2 linked regions of the Danio rerio genome follow. Each later gene encodes a partner of the first gene's protein in a complex. Links are inferred from orthologs where the notes say so. Each region holds a gene or a part of one and is shown on either strand. Other genes may lie near its edges.

Region 1 (7,430 bases):
TGTTTTGTTTATTGCAGCTCAGTAACCAAACACAGCACAAAATATGAATAAAAAACAAACAATAGTCCATTTCTCTCTTTGGACTTAAAAATACATGAAAAAGTTTTTAAATTTAAACACGAGCCATAATTTTCAATGAAAATAAATGACAGAACAATGAATAAATAAATAAAAATAAGAAATAAAAAATAGCATTTGTCTAATGTTAATTTAAGCTATATATCAGCTAATAGTTTAAATGAACTGTTGTTCATCTGCGTCCATACAAACATAATCACTTTAAGAATTTGCTAACGTATCTTTTGTTTACATTGCACAAAGCCACAACTCTCACCACTACAGCAGGAGATCATTTCTACAGTCTACTGGAGGTCCGCTTGCGAGCCTTGCGCACACCGCTCCAATATGCACACGTCTCTATTGAAAATAATGATCTTGTGTGCGGAAAAGACGCAATATGTGAATGGCCTGCTGTTATAGTTAATCCAGTGTGCGTGCGAATTAACCTCGGTATAAGCTCGGAACTTTAAACTAGCACACAGTTGGGATAACTTATAGTTTAGTTGCAGCAATTTTGTTCAGTGCAAAACAAACGTGGCATTGAGAAGCCTTCACAATAAATTGACCATAATGAATTAAAGTGCGGTTAATAGTGAAATCGGCAAATCATTGCATCCCTGTTAACAATATCAGTGCATTGTACAAAAGACCTTTTCTACAAAAATATTCAAATATTTTGAGAGGGTGCTCGCTGCAGAGCCATCTGAGGAGAGCTGAGCTCCAGCGAGGAGGAGCATGAGCTGTCGCTCCTCCTCCTGTAAGCTGTTTTAATGCGTACACCAACCCCACCCCTAACCCTACCCCCAGTGACATCACTCGTAGAAGAAGTGCAAAAAAGGTGGAGCTCAAGCTTAAGCTCCCCCTCGCTGGAGCTCAGCTCTCTTCAAATGGCTCTGCAGCGAGCACCACTTGAATATTTTCAGCTGCTTGCAGCAATTGCTTATGTTAGGTGACTCACGCTCTGCGCAGTTTTCAACTGCAGCTCGTGCTGTATTGAACAGACGCATGTCACTTCATAACTATGGTAACCGTTTTATGACTAAACTAAATTTATTTTTGATGTCTTGGTCACACTTTTCCTGCGGGCTGCCAATTGAATAGCCCTGACCTACACAGACCTGTGTTTGCAGCAGGTCGCCACCCAGAGCGACAGGCAGCTAAAAAATCACTGTTAGTTTGAATGAGGCATAAGTCTTCATAAAATTTTGGCACTTCAAAAACAACAAAAACAAAATAGCTACATTTATATCTTTTATCATTTAATCATGATGTTTGCGGTTTCACACATTATGAAAGACCGACTGAATTTTTTTATAATGGTGAACCAGCCCTGGAAAATTACTCATATTCTTCCAATACATGTCATTACAATACAAAAGTTATCAAAGTGTGACGAAGCCTGTTAGAATGTCGTTATAATGAGCCATTAATTTCAGGAATAACTGACAAATTATGGGTGAGAGTTGAAAGTATGAGTGGATTTGAAATTTGATGCTGATTTTGCATCAAACTTTCAGCACACAAGAATCCTGAGTGAGATACCTTTCAGACACAATGTTTTTTGCTACATCAATGAAATTTTTTCGAAAAAAAGTTGGAGGAGAACATTTTGCAGGGTTTTGTCCCTGAATGAACAAATCAAGTGAGCTAATAACTCAATAATCTCTTCATTAAGACAGTCCTTTGCTTCAGGTCAAAATGAATCTGACATTTTGAACTAATCGCTTGAATTAATAACCCTCGCCTAAAAATCAAGATGTTACTTTATGGTCAAAATCACACACCAAAAACCAATAAGTGAAACAAAGAAGGTAATAACAAATACTTACATATGCCCTCTAAACGTGTATATAGGCTCCACATCAAAAGAGGCACTTCTGCAAAGCAAGTTAAAACTGTGTTTAGTGGTTTATTTAGAGCTGTTACAGATAAAAAACATTTTGAAATCAATGCGGCTATGTAAAACATTAATTCAAACTCAGGACATTGCTTTCCTTGGAAGGCCACTGCGAGCACTTACTTTTTGGCAGGAACGGTCTTGTGGAGGTTCCACAGTTTGAGCGTGTGATCTTCTGAGACTGTGACCAGCACCGGCTCTACAGGATGGAAAGCCAGGGCTCGCACTCCATCAAAGTGGCTACGCAGGGTATATTTGGGATTCCATGTCTTCCTGAATGCATCCTTATTGGCTGGCAGCTAAAAATAGGGGGGCATTTTAAAGGCATTGGAATAACTGTGAAATGATTGATTCATTAAGGATTGACAGTAAGAGAATAGGATAGCTGTCCTATCTGAGTACACAGCAAAGCACACCAGGCATGAACAACTGATGTTCTCTGTAACCTTTATACAGAATGAAACTAATATAGTACAAGACATTTGAGTAAACATGATGGGCTTTGTTTTGTGTAACAATTAACTGATAGTTAAACAATACTGCATTTAAAAATTAAGCAGGGGATCAGACAGTGTTTTTCAAGTCGATGCTATTATTTATTAATGCCAGTGTAAAGTATTATTAAAGCAGAGGAGCAGTCTGGGTACTTACATCATAGCTGTATTCAGCCTCGTCATTGGAAACAGTCAGATCGGCGAGGTCTCCCAGGCCCAGCACACTTTCCAACATGTCATCAGAACCCATGATAAAGGACTTGCCCCCACCAGGCGTGAATGGCAGAGGCTCAGCTAAGAATAGAAAATAGAAGAGAAGGGCCCAGTAAACAAGGCGCCACACCTTGGAGTGGAAAACGGGGCTTAAGCAATACAGTAATATGTTTTATAGCAGTTAACAGCTTAATAAATCTGTAAGCCACTGGTAAGAGGCAATTAGGGGTCGATTAGAGATAGATGAGATCCATTTCTTGTTACCCAGTGTTTTAACCTAACACTTTTGTCCACTTCCCTATTTTTTTGTGGTGAAGGTAATGGGTGGATATATCTATGGTCTTTTTATAATCTTTGGGAGTATGATCTACCATCCTCTAACAGTGTAAAATAAGCAAGCCAAGGGTACAATGGATAACAATAGAGAAAGTTGAAGCTTCCATTTTTCTGCCACTTTTGAAATGGTTAAAAGTAAAAAATAAAAAAAAAATAAAAAAAGCTAGCTTTGAGCATGCAATTGTAATGAGCTCAACAAAAAACAGAGCCTAACACAAAAATGGATTCTAAAGTGTCATTTACACAAATACAATTCTTTTTAAAACCAAGTTGTTACAGTTACATTGATGGCAGATCAATGATAAGGCGAAATAACCTACTGTAACATCTGCAATTATATAAAATAAATAAATGCAACATGCATGAAAACATACAAACCAAGTCTCCGATATGTTACTCATTAAAAAATAACGGCACACAGCATACATTTCCTTATTTGGGGTTCAAAAACAACACACAATATAGCCCAAAGTCAGTGCAGACCTCTCAACTGCATATTCAATCTTCACTAGCACATGTAGCCTCTGTTAGAAAGTAATTCCATCATTTAGAGTTCTTAATAGTTGAGAAGGCAATGATAATAGGTAAACATGGCAGTTTAAAAAAAAAAAAAAAAAGCTTCCTTTGTTTTCATTCACCTGGCTTGCACATGAGCTAGTGATGCTTCTCTGTAAACCAATAGCGTTCAGCTGTGCGTCTTGCTCCACCTTTTGTAACCCATTTGTTGTGATAGGTAACCTTCCAAAAGGGTACCTAAAAAGTGGTACGCTACGGTTTGCTCGTTGGTACTTTTTGACAGTGGAAATGGCCATAAAAGCATACCGAATCATACCGAATCATACCATACCGGACCGTAACAATCAGTGGAAATGAGCTGCTAGTATCCACACTACTTAATCATTTTTGACCAATAAAAACTTGCCCGGCTATCCACAATCACTTATTTTTACTGTGAACGTAAATATAAAAATAAAAAACATATTTACAAACTCTATTCAAGTAACATTCATATGTGGTTTGAAATGCTACTTAAATAACATTTCTTCTGGAAATCTGTTTTAGTTTGACCGTTCTTTCCCTTTTACTCATTTAACTTCCTTATGTCAGACACTGTTTGTAAAAAAAAAAAAAACATCCTTTTTTCTGAAGGACAATCTTGCTTGTACAAACCTGCTTGTACAATCTGTAGCCAAATATTCCTTACAAATTCTTTCTGAACAACTGCTTTAGAGAGGTTTATGTTTCCGGCTTAATTTACTTTAGAGGTGTTAGGTGCATGCATGTCTTATTAATGAAGCCGCAATGGGTGTGACGAATTAAAAGAAAGAATTATGATACACCTGGACCTGGAGTTAAAATGCTCACTTTGAAAAGGTAACTTTGCTTGCAAACTTTTGGAATGAAGAAACGTTCAGAAACAAAAGTCTGGGTTAATCAACAGAGTTTATGTTTCAGGAATACACCACGTATTGATCAAATGTTTAAATGTAATAAACATCCCAATTTAGGGGTGACACTTCACACATAATTATGCTACTTTATCAAAAATGCATACTCTATAGTAAGATTTACATAATCCTTAGCTTAGAAATAGGTCAAAGAGAAGTGAGTAAGATAAAAAGAGTGAGAGATACAAAAAGAAAAAGCACGGCTGCGGGATGGATGTAATGAGCTGATGTGTTTGACCCAGCTGGCTCTGGTCGGAGCAGTAAGAGAATCTCCTGGCAGGAATGCTGATGCAGCAACTGGCCTCGTTAAGATTCTACTGCAGGGCCGGTGTGTGCCACAATCACATGCAAGGAACACACATGCCCATACAGACACAGATTCATATAGTTCATTATGTTTTCACATTTATGCAGTCTCTTTTCTTTAATTAAAAGACTAGCAAACTTGCATAATGTCAAAACAGCTCATTTCCATACACTAAACATTAATGCTAATGTTTACTAATGGACTATCATCATCACCTGTATGTTCCAAGCTTTGTAAGACCACAAAAAGTCAAAATCAACAATGTCATATTTGGGGCAATAAAAAAATTATATTCTTTATTAACACATCAATATGTTTTATTTACTTCTAAAGGATCATGTGACAAGTAATGGCTGCTGAAAATCTGTTGTCATAAAAAAAAAAAACAATTATAGCATCACTATGGTGCTATGATGTCCTGTTTAGAAGTCTTCAATATAAACCACTTTTGATTTGACCAATCACAAATAAATGAACATTCTAAAATCTAATATAAAAAACAGAGCTGGATCAACACTAGGCTGGGTTGATAATAAATAGTTCTTGTTTGGATGAACCTTTAAATTTCAGTCCATATTTCAATACTACACACTAATAAGGATGTCCTGCTTAATAATCAAACACTCAAATCCTGTAAGAATATTAAGAGATGTGCCCTGTTTCATCACTTGACAATTATTATGTATTTCAAAATATAAGACATTTTTTCATTTAAAAAGGATGCAACCTAAACTCCAAAGTGACTTAATGGAATTAGTATGAGGTGAGCAAAACAAATGCATTGGTGGATTGGTGATGAATGAGACACACAACTATTTAGATTATAGCACATATTTTATATATATATATATATATATATATATATATATATATATATATATATATATATATATATATATATATATATATATATATATATATATAATAATGCTAATCATTTCAGTTTTGCTTTGAATAAACAAGTTTAGACTTGACATTTATATTGAATTATGCTTTCAGCCACTGACATAACAACTGCTTTTTATTCTTGATAGTTTTTTCATACCTATTGTTCCTTTTCTGTACTGAGCACTATTAAAAAGATTTGTTGTAGAGTGACATAGTAGAATATACGTTTATAATGTCTGTAGGCATTTCAGTTTATTTAGGGCTACTGGCAGCCAATTTCATACTACTTTGGAATGAATTATAGACTTGCACACCAATGTGACCTGTGTTTTTCACTCAATAACACAAATTATACTCAGTCACACTTAGTGGCTCTTTATGCGACAACAATTTCAGCCAATATCTCAAAACGTTTGAAGTATTTTGCTTGTTCGTTTAGCATTTCTGTGACATTACCTGCATAAATATGAAAATGGATTTCAAAGTTAAAGTTATTAAGAACATTGTCGCCTTTTTTTCAATAACTATTTTTTTGGGGCTTACACAATGACGTCATGTGTGTGCACATTTAGGGAGATGCAGATTAAAGGCAAGCCCAAATAAACACACAACAGTGGCACAGTACATGCTAGTGTTGTTGATGCTCAACTGTTGGCTAATGCTTCAGGAGCAAGGTGTGGATTTACTTTGCATTACAAGCAACAGCATAGACGCATCTTACACACTTTGAATTCTACATAAACATCAGCGCAGAGCCGCCAACTGAACATCATTCCTTCCTTGGGGTACTATTTTCTAACAAGTAGGGCTGAACAATATACCGCTTGCGCATTGATTTCGCAATGTGTTTTTCCACAATAGTCACATCGCAGTATTCAATTGATTAAATATCAAAATATAAAGAAAATGCTGAATATAATTTTTATATTATTGCATACAAGGTTTAAACAATGATTTGTACAATATTTTTGTATGGTTTTGTATTTGAATACTGTTAGACTCCACAAAAAAAGCACTGTTTATTAAACTTTTATTTTTACTCTGTCATATTTAGACACACTGCATAGAAATAGATTTGATCACCTCAGTCAATCTCAAAGAATGACATCTTTCCAAATAGGTTGGAGCTATTCAGTGAATCTAGTGATTATATTCATAACGCAATATTATATCGCAGCAAAACTAAATATTGCCATATCAGTTTTTTTAACATTATGCAGCCCTACTAACAAGGTGAAAACATCAAATACTGCTCTGCCAAATATAAATCAGTGTTTTAGGACATTTTCATAAATGTATTTTGAAAAAGATATGTAAATGTGAAACTTTTTTTTAATGCAAGTAAAAAAAGTTTTCAGTTTTTGGTTACATTGTTGACAAGAAAATGTAGCCTTAAGTCACTTTTTCACTGTGTGGTTAAAAAAAAGCAAAGTGGATGAGATTATACGTTTTTTTGCACCGCATCTACTAAAATGTAACCTAATTCCTGGTTGCCACATCCAGATCACACTGGATCTGCTTCTTGAATATCAACATGAGGAACGTCTGCACCTTCTCTACTGACCATGATACAGCCATTAGAAGATGCGTGTCAGTCATTGAAAATAATCCCACAGCGGCTGATGCTGACTATTTATTTACATCTTGCAGGTTTGTTGTGTCGTGTTACAATGACGCAGGTAGTGACGATTCTCTCTTTTAGTTTCTGCACAGCTCACTTCAAAACTCAACAGAGGTATACCAGGTACTCTGCACAGTGCAAATCTCCCAAAAGTGTGATGTACCAT
Region 2 (7,430 bases), on another chromosome or scaffold:
AACTCAAGCTCTGATTTATCAAACTGAAGGCTGATTTATACTTCTGCGTCAAGCGCACGTGTATGCTACTGCGCAGTCTACGCGTGGACGCATAGTCCTCACCATGGCTGTTGGCGTCGCTGACGCGCACCTCTAAAAAAAATGTAAATACACATCGCAACAACGCGTAGCGCAAGATTTGTGATTGGTCGGCTAGGTATCGATGAGTGTGAGCAGTACCGAGAGCCGCGCGAGTCTGCTGGAGCGAGTGTTTACAGGTGTGGAGTCCCGTGAAGGAACTCCAGATGGAAAGTTTTGTTTTGTGTTTATCTTATGGTTAAAGTTGTTGCACGTGCGCTGGTTCCTGCCTCAAAATGAGTGAGTTTGAGCCACTTGTACATTAAGGAAGCATTCAGAAAAAACAAAACACCAGTGAAGTACATAAACACATCACTGCCAGCTAGTGTTTCAGAAGTGTTATTGCAGAGCAACAGAAACAGTGCGCAGAAGTATAAATGCACTGCACCGTGAAAGGCTTGCCGAGGGTCACGCCGATCACTTGACGCAGAAGTATGAACCAGGCTTAATAGGGGAATTACCAACCATACCATACCGACTGCAAAAATAGACCGGTTGCAATAGCAAACATGTGGTGTTGTGCGGTAGGATGCCAAAATCGAAAGTCCAAATACAAAACTTTAATTTTACCGTACACCACACTGCTTTTATTGCCAACAGCAGACGTCTTTGGCTTATGGCCATCAGAAGAGCTGAATGGAGTGATGACCTATTTAAAAATGCTCAACAAAAAGCTAACTAATTCTCTCATTTCATATCAAGTGAGTTTAGGCTATGCTGAATCATACACATTACTCACTTTTGACTGCAGCAATGATTTCAGCAAAAACAGTTAAATATGGTTCATTAAACTGCAGAGAGTTTCTAAGAATGAAATGTAAAAGTGTCATTTCACATACCCTGCCGTACAGGTGCAGTTCACTGTCAGAATGCAGTTGTTTTGCTTGTTGATGATTACCCAGGCCTTGTACAGTTCCATCTTCTTTCCTTGTCTTTGGCCTTTTCCTCGGTTTTTAGCGCTACAGTTTTGAATCTGGTAATCATGGAACATTATCTCTTGCACATGACCACACAGAACAAAATTGTAGGCATCCAAAGACTTGTTGGCCTTTAGCTTCTCTCTTGTAGAATCACGTGGAGTTTTAATGAGATAGTTGTATATTTGGGGCTGGATGTTTGGCCATTTCACCTTATCCAATATCCATTGGGAGGGTGCTGTCGCAAATGGACCTGTCAGACGCACATCGCTTAATTTTGCAGAATAACTGTGGTTGTCACTGGGTGACGAGCTGTTATAATACGCTGAAAGCATTATGTAAATAATATATATAATATGTAATCAATATAACTTATCTCTAATACAACAACAATCTCTGTACTGCATCGGATAGCATTCACTTGCTGTAAATGCTAACGCTCCTGTTTTTTTCTGCAACTTCGCTGTGCGCATGCTCAATGTTTACAAAATGGTAGTTTGTCTATAACACAAATGACGAAAAGTATCATTTTAAGTCCAAAACAGATGAAAATAAGAAAGTCAGATAAATTTTTTTTTTGAGTAAAACCCTTTAATTTCTTATTAAAATTAACAGAGCACCCCCAAAAATGTACATTTGATAAAAAGGCAAGGCATTTCAGTAATGGCCATTTCAGAGGCTTGATTTTTGTTGTTGTTGTTTTTTAAATATTTACCTTTCTTTTGTTTCTAACAATATCTACAGAAGCTCTTGGCCATCTGTACACAGTGATTCATTTGCAAAAAAATCCATCATCTCTTTTTAAAGGTCTGTAAAATTGAAACTATATACACAGATCTGTACACAAATCCAAACATAGCGCCCTCTGTCTTCCTGGATTACCTGAGATTTCAGCACGAATACTGCAATCTCCTTCACATCAGGGCTTGGATGCGCACACACACACACACAGACACACACACACACATCCGTCCCCACACATGCATTTTGTTCAGAGTCATGCACACTATCTTGTATTTTGTTTTTCGGGCCTCCTCGCCCTCTGATGGCATACTTTTAATGCATTCCTTCCAAAAGCGTTAATGCAAAAAACGACCTGCCTCCAAAGAATCACGCTCTGCTCAGCCGGAGGAGTTACATCTAGGTTTTTTCTCCATTGCTTAAGCAGTCTCCATTACAAACACACTATGACGCACACACACACACACACATTTGCGCACACACACTCCAAAGTGTTCCAGGAGATTATAAAAGAAGAGTGAAACTAGGGGAAGCTTTGAGGAGTTTGAGAAGGACAGCTGGTCCTCCAGGGTAGACGTCACAGAGTCTGCTGGTGTCAGGATTCGCTGAGCTGATGCCGGGGGGAGGGGGCGGGACTTAAGAGAGACGGACAGGCCAATGGAGTAATCACTGGTGCGATGACGATGATGTTCTTGCCCTAGAGAACCTGCATAGGAGAACACGGAAGTTGAAATACTTGTACAGTTGAAGTCAGAATAATTAGCCCTCCTGTATATTTCACCCTCCGATTTCTGTTTAACGGAGATTTAATAGATTTAAAAACACTAATGACCCTTGAGGAAGTCCTTACCGTTGTAGCCGCTGAATAAGCTGAGTGACCATGACGTCTGAGATGCCTGGATAAGCCTCCTCAGCCAAAAATATAGCTTCTCCGAGCTGCTCCAGAACCTCAGGCTTTACCGTCGTCGCTGCAGCAGCCTCTCCTGCTCCCTCCTTCAGCTGAACACACACACACACACACACACACACACACACACACACACACACACACACACACACACACACACACACACACACACACACACACACACACACACACACACACACACACACACACACACACACACACACACACACACACACACACACACACACACACACACACACACACACACACACACACACACACACACACACACACACACACACACACACAAATGATATCCAGCTTATGACTCTATCCACAGCATACTTTTACTACAGACACAGCTTCTAGAGTAAACATTGTTTACAGTGCTAATGAGACATTTAACCAGCTATGACTGCTACTTTAGCTCAGGCTATATCCTGTAGTAGTAATATACAGTAGTCAACATTTGAAGGTTTGATGAACGTTTCATCAAAGCAAAACCATTTTGAAAAACATTTGATCCACTTCAAATGTTGACTTCTACTGTATATTGAAAAAAAAGGTTTTGAAGTATCAACATAGTAAAGGTTTAATACTGCTAAAATGTTTATACGTTATACAGCATCTCTTTTTTTTCTTTTTAAAGAGCAACAGGACTTTTTTATTTACAAAGGAAAACATTCAGTGTGGCGGAATATCTTGGCGTATTTCCAACAATAATTATTCAATCAATAACAGTACATTGGATGGAAGAAAGCTCTCCAAAGGTGGCTCAGTGGATTCAGAGACACACAGGTCTATATAATGCAAAAAATGACTGCATGTCTACAAATGGAGACTGGTATTTTTCTGAAGAGGTGGAAAAGTATTATGACATATTTAGATTTGTATATTTGAAGGTAACTTAACTTATCATCATCATTTGTTATCATAACAAATAACTGTAATTTGAGGTTACTACAATGCAACACAATGTAACCTGATGTCCAAATGTATTCTCTGTAAAGTAATAATAAATGGCAATAGCTGTTATTTATTTTTGTTGTTTTCTTTTAATAGATTTTTTAAAATTCTAATTTCATTATTATTTTTTATGTATCCCCTCATGTGTAAGGGGTTAAATTGTTGGGGACAGGGTTTTGCTGTAAAATGTTTAAAAAAAAAGGTAAAAAATAAAAAATAAAAAATTTTTTGATCAAAGAATCAAACGTTACATTCTACTATTTTAAAATCAAAGCGCAGGCATGAAATACTAATTCACTGTCATTTTAAATCTTTATATCATGCCCCTATTACTCAATTTCACTGATTTGTGACATTTAATTTAGCAATATTCGGCAAAACTTCTTTGCATTTTTCAAACTAGAGTCATGTGATCAAAGAATCAAACTTCATATTAAACTATTTTAAACTATTGAGTTATTATATTATGCCACTATCACTTGATTTGACTGATTTTCATTTCAAATATAATATTTAGTATAATGACTTATAGTAATCTGTTACACTGGGACGCTTATTCTCTTTAAGTGGAAACATTCATCTTCACATGATTGATAGATAAAATTATTTCTTTTGTGTGTTTAAATAGGGTTTTCATTAAGAGGCTCTTTAAAAGCTTTTTATAAACCTTTGTTGAATTATAATGATACTACTGATCTTGAAGCAGAAGAGGAATAACTCCCTTTTTGTACATTTACTCTGTTTATTTATTTTAAATGTTTATTTTAAATGGTCATTTGTACTTGGTTTTGATGATAGGGACTGGATATAAAACGGCAGCATTTTTACTTTTGTATTTATATAATATTGTATCTGCATAAACTGCAATTAATATTATTGGCAAAAAAAGAAATGTTACACTGAATAATGATAAATACCTATATTTTGACTTTTATTTTAACTATTTATTTTCATTTAAAACACTATAGTAATATTGGGTCACTTATATCAAAATGTTGTTAATTTTGTATTATGTAAATATATGCAAATATATATATATATATATATATATATATATATATATATATATATATATATATTTGAAGTCAGAATTATTAGGCCCCTTAATTATTTGCCCCCCTAGTTATTTTTTTTCTCAATTTCTGTTTAATGGAGAGAAGTTTTTTTCCAACACATTTCTAAACATAATTGTTTCAATAACTCATCTCTAATAACTGATTTATTCTATTTTTGCTATGATGACAGTACATAATATTTTACTTAATATTTAGAAGACACTTCTATTCAGCTTTAAGTGATATTTAAAGGCTTAACTAGGTGTATTAGGTTATCTAGGTAGGTTAGGGTAATTAGGAAAGTTAATGCTTAATAATGGTTTGTTCTGTAGACAGTGGAGAAAAAATATATCTTAAAGGGCTAATTAATTTTAATAATTTTTAATAATTTTTCTCCTTCTGGAGAAAGTCTTATTTGTTTTATTTTGGCTAGAATAAAAGCTGTTTTTATTTTTTAAATCATTTTAATTACCAATATTATTAACCACCTCAACCATTTATTTCTCCAAACAAACCACTGCTATACAATGACTTGCCTGATTACCCTAACTAGTAAACTTATTTAACCTAGTTAAGCCTTTAAATCTCACTTTAGGCTGATACAAGTATCTTGAAGAATAATTAGTAAAATATTATGTACTGCCATTATTGCAAAGATAAAAGAAATCAGTTATTCAAACTTTGTTTGAATTCTGTATAGAAATTCTGTTTAGAATCGTGTTAAAAAAAAAGTTCTCTCTGTTAAACAACTGCAACTGCATAAATCTTTATCTCATTCTTCTATGGTCACATGACACATCATCATATGGTTAACTCTTAAACTGATCTTCTTCTAGTCAAGTGTCCAGTTCAGGCTCTTCTCTCTCATGAAGGGTTTGTCCTTGAAGTAAGGAGATGGTGGAACAAATTAGTGTGCAGTCACTTTTCCCTGGGCTTTTTTCTTTCCCAAAGCATTCCTCTATTTTCCGCTCTCCTCCTCAAACACCTCACTGCTCCATACTGATTAGCAAGAGGCCTGAGGGAGTGACGGACGCCTTTAAAAGATACTTATAAGATATCAAAGCATTTGAGGGCCACTTTTAATCTTCATGATGATATCTTTTAATATATCAGTGGCGAAGCAATAAAATCCTAAAGTAGCCCTAGGTGAATTACAGAAAAGGTAGCCTACATATTGCATAAGAAAACTCCCATATGAAAAGATACATGCAAATTTACACTAGCGGTCAAAGTTCTAGATCAAGAACTGTTTTATCATTTTGAAAAAGTCTAAGGTGTTTGTTTAATCATAAATACAGTAACAAAAAAGGCATTATTGTGAAATATTATTTATATTTTAAAAATAAGTGTTTTCATATGTTGTATAGTGAACTTTATTCCTGCAATTTAAAGCTGAATTTCAGGATTTACAGTAGGGGTGTCAAAATTACTTGTTTCTTCGGTGCACCGCGATGCATACGAGGACAATTCGGTATCGGTTCAGTAAAAATCATTATTATATACTGACGTCATTTATCTCATATGCGCTATGTGGCAGTTGTTTACCATACTTACTACTTAAAAACGCAGAAGCTGTGCACTATTTCACTGTGTGTGTGTTTGCTGGACAGTCTTTCACTGACACTTACAGCAGATGTCCCTATTTCACTGCGATTGAGAGAAAGTAAACTCCACTTCTCTCTCTCTGTCTCTCACTGTGGCTCATTTGACCTGCTGGCATGACTTTTCCCCTCCTCTCGGCTGTTACAGCGATACCTTTGGATACAGTCACGAGCGGTTGTCTGCAGAGTTTTCTCCACCGTCTCTATCAAGGATTAGCTGTGACCACCGCTGCCGTTTATTAGTGTCACTCATCTGTGAAGAGCAGCAGTGAGGAAGAGCCAATCATAGCCCTTTTTGTTGAGCGCGTAACCAATCAAAGGGGTGTAAAAACTTGGTAGACAAGGCTCAGAAAGCGAGCATGATATTTATATTTCTTTATTTGCTATAAATGCTTGTGTTGTTTAATGGTACTGTTTATATATCTCACTGTGCGTATTAAAGGACAACATTGTATTACAAATAGTAGATAAATATATTCATACATTTTAATAAAAGAATTGTGTACGTAAAGCATCGTCAATGCATCGTGATGCATCGAGATATCGAATTGAACTGAATTGATGGCATGATAATCGTAACCGAACCAAACCGTGAGACCAAGTTCACAGCTCTAATTTACAGAAAACTTTGCAAATCATTTCATATTTCAATTTGCTCTTCTATTATCATCTATCTTTTATTGTTGGTTAAATAAGTAGTTTGAACAAAACCCAAAATATTTTTTTGAGTGTAAAAGCCAAGCATAAAATGCTCCCGCCAAACCCTGAGATCAGATGAATGGATTCAAAAACTGTAAAACTCTAGAGGACTTCCAAAAAAAAGTGGAGAGCTCCTTTATTGCATTGAATTTAATATCTGTTGAAAAAAATTATGTTTTCTGTTTCTTCACAATTCAAGGGTGACGAAACAGCAAAACACATTTTTTTAAGCTGTTGACAGCCTTATGTGTACCACATGGCTAAAAACACTATTAGGACACGTATATCTCACTAAAAAGTGAAAATTGGTTGTTTTTGCGTCATTTCAAGCAAATGCGTACTTCCGGTTTGAAACTAATTTTTGAAGCTGCATCACGGCCATGAGATCTTAGCATGTATTTCAGCGTGTAGACTGGACCTCTGTACC

What was found.
Region 2: strn3 (region 1) and stk24b share a complex: the UniProt entries of both Homo sapiens proteins name them as parts of the core of STRIPAK complex. The link is inferred for Danio rerio from reciprocal best matches to the Homo sapiens genes STRN3 and STK24.

Annotation. Positions count from the first base shown.
Region 1 is NC_133192.1:30,203,878-30,211,307, reverse strand, and holds part of strn3 (striatin-3), read right to left. Parts: intron 2,746-7,430; coding exon 2,609-2,745; intron 2,257-2,608; coding exon 2,081-2,256; intron 1,938-2,080; coding exon 1,890-1,937; intron 1-1,889. UniProt on the Homo sapiens protein: Calmodulin-binding scaffolding protein which is the center of the striatin-interacting phosphatase and kinase (STRIPAK) complexes.
Region 2 is NC_133181.1:13,507,626-13,515,055, reverse strand, and holds the end of stk24b (serine/threonine-protein kinase 24), read right to left. Parts: intron 2,775-7,430; coding exon 2,626-2,774; intron 2,482-2,625; coding exon 2,442-2,481; 3' UTR 1,751-2,441; downstream 1-1,750. UniProt on the Homo sapiens protein: Serine/threonine-protein kinase that acts on both serine and threonine residues and promotes apoptosis in response to stress stimuli and caspase activation.